3 linked regions of the Kluyveromyces lactis genome follow. The protein of the gene in region 1 purifies or fractionates together with the protein of each later gene. This does not show direct contact. Links are inferred from orthologs where the notes say so. Each region holds a gene or a part of one and is shown in the gene's direction. Other genes may lie near its edges.

The links.
Region 2: the proteins of NAM7 (region 1) and LSM1 purify together in Saccharomyces cerevisiae (affinity purification with mass spectrometry; 3 studies listed by BioGRID, with this or other methods). This does not show direct contact. The link is inferred for Kluyveromyces lactis from reciprocal best matches to the Saccharomyces cerevisiae genes NAM7 and LSM1.
Region 3: the proteins of NAM7 (region 1) and RBS1 purify together in Saccharomyces cerevisiae (affinity purification with mass spectrometry; 3 studies listed by BioGRID, with this or other methods). This does not show direct contact. The link is inferred for Kluyveromyces lactis from reciprocal best matches to the Saccharomyces cerevisiae genes NAM7 and RBS1.

What each region holds. Positions count from the first base shown.
Region 1 is NC_006038.1:566,423-570,778, forward strand, and holds the start of NAM7 (ATP-dependent RNA helicase NAM7), read left to right. Parts: upstream 1-1,485; coding exon 1,486-4,356. Other genes in the region: MBR1 (Mbr1p), read left to right, coding at 7-1,002. UniProt on the Saccharomyces cerevisiae protein: RNA-dependent helicase required for nonsense-mediated decay (NMD) of aberrant mRNAs containing premature stop codons and modulates the expression level of normal mRNAs. Also capable of unwinding double-stranded DNA and translocating on single-stranded DNA.
Region 2 is NC_006041.1:1,347,806-1,350,507, forward strand, and holds LSM1 (Lsm1p), read left to right. Parts: upstream 1-1,551; coding exon 1,552-2,091; downstream 2,092-2,702. Other genes in the region: DUF5427 domain-containing protein MTC1, read left to right, coding at 1-476; FMP46 (putative redox protein), read right to left, coding at 545-934; KLLA0_E15181g (uncharacterized protein), read right to left, coding at 2,431-2,702. UniProt on the Saccharomyces cerevisiae protein: Component of the cytoplasmic LSM1-LSM7 complex which is involved in mRNA degradation by activating the decapping step.
Region 3 is NC_006042.1:520,919-524,151, forward strand, and holds RBS1 (Rbs1p), read left to right. Parts: upstream 1-1,405; coding exon 1,406-2,683; downstream 2,684-3,233. Other genes in the region: ubiquitin-ubiquitin ligase UFD2, read right to left, coding at 1-336; RDI1 (Rdi1p), read right to left, coding at 2,927-3,233.

The sequences.
Region 1 (4,356 bases):
TTTTCCATGTTGGATGAACGTCTGGAATCAGATGAAGGAGTAAAGCCTTTAGTGTGCCATTGTGGTTGTCCCAATGAAAGAGGCTCCATATTTGAGAGATCAGTGCAGGACCCCTTTTGCTCTACTTTTTACAATGATGATCAAGAACCACTCGAGATACACAGTCGTGCAGAAGATTCACTGTATGAATTGAATCCATTGCAGGAGGAAACGCTGTACTATAAGATTCCCAGTGATAATGAAGAAGAGTTTCAGGAGGTAGAGCTTGGAGGGAACCCATTCCGTTCGAATATGATGCGTGGAGATACTTCTTTGAAGGGGAAAATTGGATCACCATCAAAGTGTGGTTGTGTGGTATGTTCGAACTGCCACGGGCTAAGGAAACCTAGATCGAAATCGTCCGCTTCTTACAATGGATACAGTTTCTCGCTAGATTCAAACCCAGTCTCAAGGACAAACAGTATAGTCATTCCATTGTCTAAACAACCCACAAGACAGAGCATTGCTTCTTCTGTTGGATGTCTAGATACAAACAATACCATAAATAATAACAGTCTCTCTTTTGGATCCCCAACTAATATCACTGACGAGGGCGCAATAGATCCTAAATCTTCCAATGGATCAAGATCGTCCATTAGCTTATCTACAAATGCCATTCCAACACACTTATACAGCTTGGAGAGATACGTAAGTTCTGAATTGGATTCAGCGACGGAATCCTTCTTTGATAAGTCAAAACAATTGTCAGACGAAGCTTCAACTCATGGAACAGAAGACACCGTCTCTTCATCGTTGGCAAAAATGTCATTACGAACTTCACCTCAAAGTTCAAATAGCACAATTGCCAATCCAAACACCTACACTAATAGAACCATACCAGAAATACCGTCAGGAACTCAATCAATTAACCAATATTCATCTTCACATCCACCACCATTTTTGGACGCAAGAAAAAGAAGAAAGTCTTTCATTGAACAGGCTTTATCAGAGAGTTTCTCATAATAAAATTCACAACCCCAGTCTTCAACCACCCTCAGTTACCCCAATCATAATCATCAGTATACCCTCATGCATCAAATATATAAACGTAATAGGACATAGACTGTCACCTAATCACTATTTAATTACCCGACTTTTGCATGCATTTGCTGATTCTTTTTTTTTTTTTTCAGTTTGTGTACTTCACATCTCATCTCACATCTCATCAGAAAATGCATCAACTTCCATACATAAAAGTATTTAATCATAATATGCTTCAACAGTTATTATTTCCTATATCACTTTATCTGTATTTTCAAGAAGTTCTGTAAATTGAGCATCTATCAATGTGCTGAGTAACATATTTTGATTTGTGACTCTGACTCATTTCTTGCGAACTTTTTTTTTTGGTTAGTTCGATCTATTCTGTTCAAAGCTATTCTTTGAAGTAGATTGTACACGACTGGTGCCTTTATTATCTCAGTACAATTAGAATCAAGTTTCCTTATGACGATGCGTTTGCCAAATGAACCGTTTGATTCAGATTCGGACTCAAACGAATCTGTTTCTTTGAGAGACGATGACGACAAAAACTTTTTCTACGATACTGATGAGATGCTGGACGAGGAATACTCTGAGTTCCACGGCACTGCTGCTAATACAGATCCTATTGCGGAACATGCTTGTGCATATTGTGGTATTGATAATACTTCATGTGTTGTCAAGTGTAACATTTGCAGCAAATGGTTTTGTAATTCGAAAAATGGTACTAATAGTTCCCATATTGTGAACCATTTAGTTTTATCCCATCATTCTTCAGTTTCATTACATCCAGACTCAGAGCTAGGAGATACTACTTTGGAATGCTACAATTGTGGACGTACTAATGTGTTTGTTCTTGGTTTTGTTCCGGCTAAGAGTGAGGCTGTTGTGGTCTTGTTGTGCAGATTGCCTTGTGCTAAAATGAAGAATGTTAATTGGGATACAGATAACTGGCAACCACTTATTGAAGAAAGGAAGATGCTATCTTGGGTGGCAGAAGAACCAAGTGAAGAAGATCAGTTGAAGGCCAGGATGATTACTCCATCTCAAATTACGAAATTGGAAGCAAGATGGAAATCAAACAAAAACGCTACAATTATGGATATTGATATGGTCGAACAAGATGAAGATATTCCTCCGACTTTGATGAGATACACTGATGCTTATCAGTACCAAAGATCATTTGGTCCTTTGATTCAGTTAGAAGCAGATTATGATAAGCAATTAAAGGAATCACAGGCCTTAGAACACATCTCTGTCACATGGGATTTAGCATTGAACAACAGACATCTAGCTACTTTTGCATTATCCACATTCGAATCTAACGAATTAAAAGTTGCCGTTGGTGATGAGATGATTTTAAAGTATAGTGGTCCACAACATGCAGATTGGACAGGAAAAGGTTTCATCATCCAGCTACCAAACAGTTTCAAAGATGAATTTACTCTTGAATTGAAACCAAGTCAAAAAACTCCACCAACTAATTGTACTACAGGATTTACAGCAGTTTTTGTATGGAGGGGAACTTCTTATATTAGAATGCAAGAAGCGTTAAGAAAATTTGCTGTCACCAAAAAATCATTATCAGGGTTCTTGTATTATAAGATATTGGGCCAAGAGGTTCCAGATGTGGAATTTGATGTAGAATTACCCAAAAGCATTTTTGTGCCTCACTTCACCGAGTTAAACCAATCTCAAAGTAATGCTGTGAAGCATGTTTTACAAAGACCTTTATCATTGATCCAGGGACCTCCTGGTACCGGTAAAACCGTCACTTCAGCTACCATTGTTTATCATTTGTCTAAAATCCACAAACAGCGTGTTTTAGTTTGTGCACCATCTAACGTTGCAGTGGATCATCTTGCTGCCAAGTTGCACAGTATGGGTTTAAAGGTAGTACGATTAACTGCTAAAAGTAGAGAAGATGTGGAGAGCTCAGTGTCCGAGTTAGCATTGCATAACTTGGTCAGCAGGTCTGCAGAAGGTAAACTCAAAAAACTTCTCAATCTTAAGGAAAAAACAGGGGAACTTTCCTCATCGGATACCACGAAATTTGTGAAGTTAGTGAGAAAATCAGAAGCTACCATCATTCAAAAAGCTGATGTTATTTGCTGTACTTGCGTCGGCGCTGGTGATAAAAGATTGGACTATAAGTTCCGCACAGTATTGATCGATGAAAGTACTCAAGCGTCAGAACCTGAATGTTTGATCCCTATCGTCAAGGGAGCCAAACAAGTTGTTCTAGTTGGTGATCATCAGCAACTTGGTCCTGTCATTTTAGATAGAAAAGCTGGTGACGCTGGTTTGAAACAATCTTTGTTTGAAAGATTAATTTCCTTGGGTCACATTCCTATTAGATTGGAAGTCCAATATAGAATGAATCCACAATTAAGCGAATTCCCAAGCAACATGTTCTACGAAGGTAGTTTACAGAATGGTGTCACCATCGAGCAACGTACTATTGCAAGATCTACCTTTCCATGGCCAATTCATACTATCCCTATGATGTTTTGGGCTAACTATGGTCGTGAAGAGATCTCAGGCAATGGTACTTCCTACTTGAACAGAATTGAAGCCATGAACTGTGAAAAGATCATTACAAGACTATTCAAAGATGGTGTCAAACCAGAACAGATTGGTGTTATAACTCCTTATGAGGGGCAGAGAGCATATGTTGTACAATATATGCAAATGAATGGTTCGATGGAAAAATCATTGTACATGGGCGTTGAAGTGGCATCAGTAGATGCTTTCCAAGGTAGAGAAAAAGACTATATTATTTTGTCTTGTGTCCGTGCCAATGAGAGAAACACCATTGGTTTCTTGAGTGACCCACGTCGTCTAAATGTTGCGTTGACTCGTGCTAAATACGGTCTAATAATATTGGGTAACCCAAGGGCACTATCTCGCAATAGCTTATGGAGTCATCTACTACTTCATTTCAGAGAAAAGGGTTGTCTTGTTGAAGGGTTTTTGGATAATTTACAACTCTGCACAGTCCAATTGACGAAACCTTCTAGGGCACCCAGGAAAGCCCCATCCAACAACAGTAGTTATACACAATATGCTGGTCAGAGAGACTTTGACACTCAAAGTTTGGTCTCATTCGGTGGCCAAAACGTCGTTGAAAAATCTTTTATTCCAAACACGGACTTGTCTTCGTTATTGAACCAACAATATTGGAATGGACAGTCTTTTGATACACAATCGCGCTTAAGTGCTACGCATCCTGTTAACCAATACGATAAAGACGCGGTCAATTTTGATGGAAGTTTATCCAATGGCTTAAGGAAGTACAATGGAGTGGGCTCAAAGTATCAAACCATTGATGAAGAA
Region 2 (2,702 bases), on another chromosome or scaffold:
ACGTTAACTTGAACCTTTTCCAAGGTAAAGCCGTTGACGGTGAAAAATTATGCTTGGCCAACCTTGACAATGCAATCAAGACGTGGGAGACTGCTAAGAAACAATCGAGAAGAACCAGTAACCCAGTGAGTAAAGTAAGCGATCTTTTTGTCAGCATTCTGGCCTGCGAGGTTACTGGGAAAGACGGATCATCCGAAGCCGATTCTAACACTGTTTTGATCGACGCATCGAGACAAAACAACTTCCATTTCATTGTCATCTTGAAAGACATAAGTAATGATATCTTGCTAATAGTGAGATCCCAAGGTTACCCCTCCAAATGGGCCAAATGGTTACAATCCGATGCACTAAGCGATGAGGAATCCACAGAAAAAATCGACCCAAGTGATTGGGTGAAACCATGGATATCCGAAGGTCTTGATCTAACTTTCGGTATTCTTGCCCAACAATACGTCATAAGCAGAATGAATTTGTGAAGTGTCTTTTACATACATATTTTAAAACCCTAATTACTGTTATTAATCATCATTATTATACTCCCATATCAGTTTTTTGGTAACCATTTCTCTTTCAACGATTGAACCGTCGTGCCTAATACAGCTTTTTCCCAGTCAACCCATAAGCTCGTCTGTTTATTCCAAGACCCATTCTCGACACATTTCTGCAATGGTGACCCAAATAGTGGATCCTCAGCAGCTTTTTTCAAAAGAGATTCCGTCTTAGGAATCTGTTCCATTAAGTCGGGCTTATCAATTTTTGCCAAATATTCCAATTGATCTCTAGTAGGGAATTTCTGGCATATTTCAATGTTGATTTTGTTCTTGTGGTTCGATTTTAATGCCGTTAGAAGATTTTGAGCATGAGATGATTCTAATTTGTGTGTGAATAATGTCACTACGCGAGGTTGAAATTGGATGGTTTTAAACATAGACATGATGAATTGAAGATACTGATTGTCAATGTCCCCCTCTATAAAAAATTCGAACTTTTACTCAGTTAAATACTTCAGTCTAATTAAGTCAGGTCACCCCAGTAATTGTTGCTGCCTTTATATACGCAATACTAAATTAAGACATCTTTGAAATATGTACATTTTGGAAATCATACTATTATCCCTCAAATACGCATGGCAGGGAAACAAAATCCCGGAAAATCCAGCAATCAATACTATGATACGGAGTCATGACGTCCCTACTTAGTATCCGGATTGGCAGCACCTTTCACCTACTTGGAAACAGAATCATCAAGCTAACCATTTGTGCCTTGTCTGTGCAATGACTATGCGGTCCTGTAGCAAAGGTAGTCATCCTATAGTTACCCTGCCTCAACGTTACCATACATTTTTTTTCTTCAATTCGTTTCAGCTAGCTCAACATCAAATGGAATTGCAATGAACTGCCAAAAAGATGAATCGTTGGACGCTTTAACGGCCTATTTATCCTTCAAGTGATACCCAGAACTATCACAATCAGTGTTGAATTTTACAATTCATTATAATCTTTTTTTTTTTTTTCACTTGCTCATTGAAAGAATCAGAGTCTCAAATTACAAATGTCCTCTTCGTCTCCGAATAGCGACAGAGCAAGTTCAGTAGGAGTTACTGAACCAGTGGCTTCCGATGTGGAAGAAAATCGTCCTAAGTCCAAGCTATCAGAAGGTGAAGCAGATTTATATTTGGACCAATACAATTTCACAACTACAGCTGCCATTGTTGGCTCAGTAGACCGCAAGATATTCGTACTATTGCGCGATGGCCGTATGTTCTTCGGTGTACTAAGGACGTTTGATCAATATGCCAACTTAATACTACAGCATACGGTGGAAAGAATATATATCGAGGGTGAGAATAAATATGGTGAATGTGACAGAGGAGTTTTCATGATAAGAGGTGAAAACGTTGTTATGTTGGGCGAAGTAGACATCGATAAGGAGGATGCACCATTGGAATCGATGGAACGTGTTCCATTTGAGGAAGCTGAAAGCTATAAGGAGAAAATGGACGAGGTGAAATACAAGGAGAACACTGCTAAGGGTAAGAGACTAGCGCAGCTTGGTTTAACTACCGATTTCAATAAAGGTGATTTGTATTAAGTATAAGATTATAATTAGTTTAAAAGACAAGCAAAAAAAAATCGTAAAACATACAATTCGAAACTAAACTAAACTAAACTAAATCATTACACAAACTGGAGATCGTGTGGTTTTGAAGGGTATTTATCTTTTGATACTCAATTATATATCACATAGAGATATATATATTCACTTATATATGGTTCGGTACTGTACTATTCATAATAAGTAAAATGCATAGATAGCGCGGCATGGCATTCCAAAAAAAAAAAAAAAAAAATTAATGGGACAATAATCCCCATTTGACATAAAATAGAACCATTATAACGGTCAAAATTAATTCTTAACTAACGGATCAACTCATTTGCCAGCGAGCGTCGTTAATTCTTGATCGTATGTCTTTTGAAATTTGTTATAATTACTGATTTCCAACCTCCCCAGTTGTGATATTAATGATTCGTCCGGCGTATCATTAATTCTTAGCGATCGACTCACTTGCCACATATGTGACAAGGGTGTTTGTGTTGAACAGAGTCCGTAACATCCATGCAACTGGATAGACCAATCCACCAGTGACGAGATTTCCTTTGGTGTCACGGCTTTCACCATCCCAATTTCTTCTCTTGCCGCTT
Region 3 (3,233 bases), on another chromosome or scaffold:
TTGGAAAGAGCCCTTAATTGCAAATTCTTCGATCTGGAAACAAACTAAAGCATAACCCACGATAAGCCTATCAATCTCTTGTAAGGTAATAGTTTGCTGTTCATCCAGATTCTTTTTCGATATACGTTTGGATTGCTGACAACGCTGGAAACATGAGTTTAAATATTTCAACGGCTGTTCTTGTAACGACTCATTTTCGGTCAATTGATACAAAACAATGGGATCAACACAGTCTGCACTAAGGTCAGATACATCTTCTATATCTCCAACATAAGTGCACCCTTTGGAATCATTCGGGTCAAGGGTCACCATAAAAATGTCTCTCATTAACGTCATTCTGATAAATCAAACTGAATCAAAATGAAACCCTAGGACCTGATGAATACTTTCACTATACCTAACAGCACGCTTTTCGTGTAATAGACGAGCGTTATACCAAATTTATAAAATTTGGTCTTATAGACTTGATTTTCGCCGTCTACTCCACTAGATTCCCTATGAGTATTTTCGTTAATAGCATATTGATTAATTGATAAGTGTATATTTAGATAACTTTATATCAGTAATTTCTCCGTCTTAGTAAACCGCTTGTATCAGCGTATTTTTCGGCCCCCGAAAATTAAATTTCTGGGGTCCGAATAAATCTGTCTCAATTGGTTCCGACAGGAATGCACCCTTCTTCACCAGAAACGCTGCGTGGTACTGGATTGTGAAGGAATCGATCCCACGTCGACTTAATCACTACATTGCCTCCATCCAAAAGACGGGGTATCCTCTCTGTTTCAATTGAATAATGCACCTTTCTTACGCAGTGTCAGTTAACATCTGTTCCTTCTTTTATGATTCGCAATTGCAACACGCGCATGCATACTTCACCATTGGCACATGACGAGCAGTATTATTTAAATACACAACTATTTCAACTAAATTTTGATTCATTCGTTGCCATATCAAAAATATCAAGTTTGTTTTCCCTTATCCATAGATCATATCTAACAGAAACAAGGTTCATCTTTCACACTTCTTACATAGATACAACGGAGTACAATTCAGTAAAAATTACTGAACGCCATTATTTCAAGAATTGACTGCATCATTACTAGTCTGAGTAACATCACATATAGAAATCTTCAACACCTTTTTTTGTAGGTTTATCCTAAATCCCTTCCTCTATTTGTCTCATACTCTGGCCAAATTTTTTTCCCTTCGTTCCTACCTTACTTTCAAGAAGCTAATATTAGGTATTGGTATTTCGGAACAAAATAGATTAAAGATCTACAAGATATACAGCCATTGGTTGAAGTTAACGAGGGGTATTCTGCCAACAACGTAATTGAATTATCACCACTGAGTGACTCTACCGATAGTGTACCATATAACGACTTTTTGGAAAGAGGATTGTAACATGGAAGAGCTTAAAGTTACGCCGGCATTGCTGATAGCGTTGTTTCAAAAACCTCAGGATCGAGTGTTTTTGATTGATCTGGAGAATAGCGTTCTAGATTTTGTTGAATCCTCAGCTTATACTTATCAATTGAAACCAATGAACTCTTATTATAGATTACTGTCGCATCAAGTAGCAGAATACCATGGTTTGCAACATACAGTTTCGAAGGACAATGATAAATGTGTGATCGTCTATAAACAGAATGACTATGAACCAAATGCAAATCTGATCCTTCTCCAGGAATTGGAACCACAGGTCATGTACCAGTTTCCACCAGAGTATTACGCCCTTGCTTCGATGGCAGCAGCTAATAATCAGCAACAATTGATACACAAGACAATAAGACAAAAGCCAAGACAGAGTAGTCAGCATCATACGCCAGTGTCAGCTCCTGAACACGTATCGGATAATCAAACAACCAGAGACAATGCACAGGTTACTGATGATAAAAGTGCTGAAGGGGTTTCACCTGCAGCAGCAGCTCTTCGTATGTCTATCAAGAAAAAAGTGAAGATACTTAAACGGGAGGTGGAAACAGATAGCGGACAATCGAGGGATTTAAGCCACGAAGCAACTACTTCAACATCAATAGAAAACACTTTGGAAGAAGAAAAGGGTGCAGGGTCAAATAAAGATTCGACGGTCATAGATTTAGAGGAACAGAGAAGAATAAAAGAACAACAGTATAATGAAGAAAAAGAGAAGATCTTCTCTGGTTCTCCATCGTCCCTCACCCCAGTTTCCACCCCACCTGCGACACCTGTAACACTGAATTCTGCAAGTGGATCGAATGGGGAAGCAGATGATTCTCCTCAGCCTCATCAGTTCGAGACTTCCAGATTTAATCTAAACCATCAAAACGAAATGAAATATATGAAGAAAACACAATACCAGCATAACAACAAGAGACAGAACTCACACAATAACAGGTATAACAAGCCATTGAATAGACAGCCTGTTATGCATCCATATTATGGAGTGCCACCTCCGATGGCACCAATGAGACCAGATTCTATTCCGTTCGGATATCAGATGGTAGCGCCAATGGAGTATATGTACTACCCTATAGGAGCTCCAATGACTAACAATCGAATGATGATACCAGGACAACCAATGTATGCCATGCCACCACCAGTATTTCAACCTTATGAGAAAAAGAACAGTGGTAAAAATGACTCTAATGGATACAAAAAGAATGGAAAACCCATAAATGAAGCACGTCATTTTCGTTGCTGAAGCAAATAAAAGTTAGATCTAATCATAGACGTATATAATGCGATTACAAACATAATGGTTTTTACTTGTTCATATTGAAATGTTTCAGCTTTTAGAGAACGCCAGCTACGTTGTTCAGAAGATGGGCCCGGGCAATGACTAGCCTGGACATGAACATTACTTCGTCACTAAAGATTCATCCACAATCAATGTCTGATCAATGGCGAAAATATTGTCACAGCTTAGAGTATGTATCATAAATCATCACCTTTTCACAATTTCAACACCCCAATTCAAAGTCAAATGGTTGTTCTTATCATCATCTATGAACTTTGAGACTGCAGAATAATTCCCGCGAACAAGGAAACCACTTGGCGCTTCAGATTCAGGCAATTCCACCTCATAAAATGGGTTCTTTGTGGTATTTGGAGCATACGAACCCAAGTGGTCATCAATCTTATCAACTGCAATGCCTGCCTTTTTGGTGTATTGCACGTATCTTAAGCCAGTAATAATTTCGTGTTGAACCTTGAAAGTGATCTTCAAATGGTAAATAGATTTTTCTTTGATC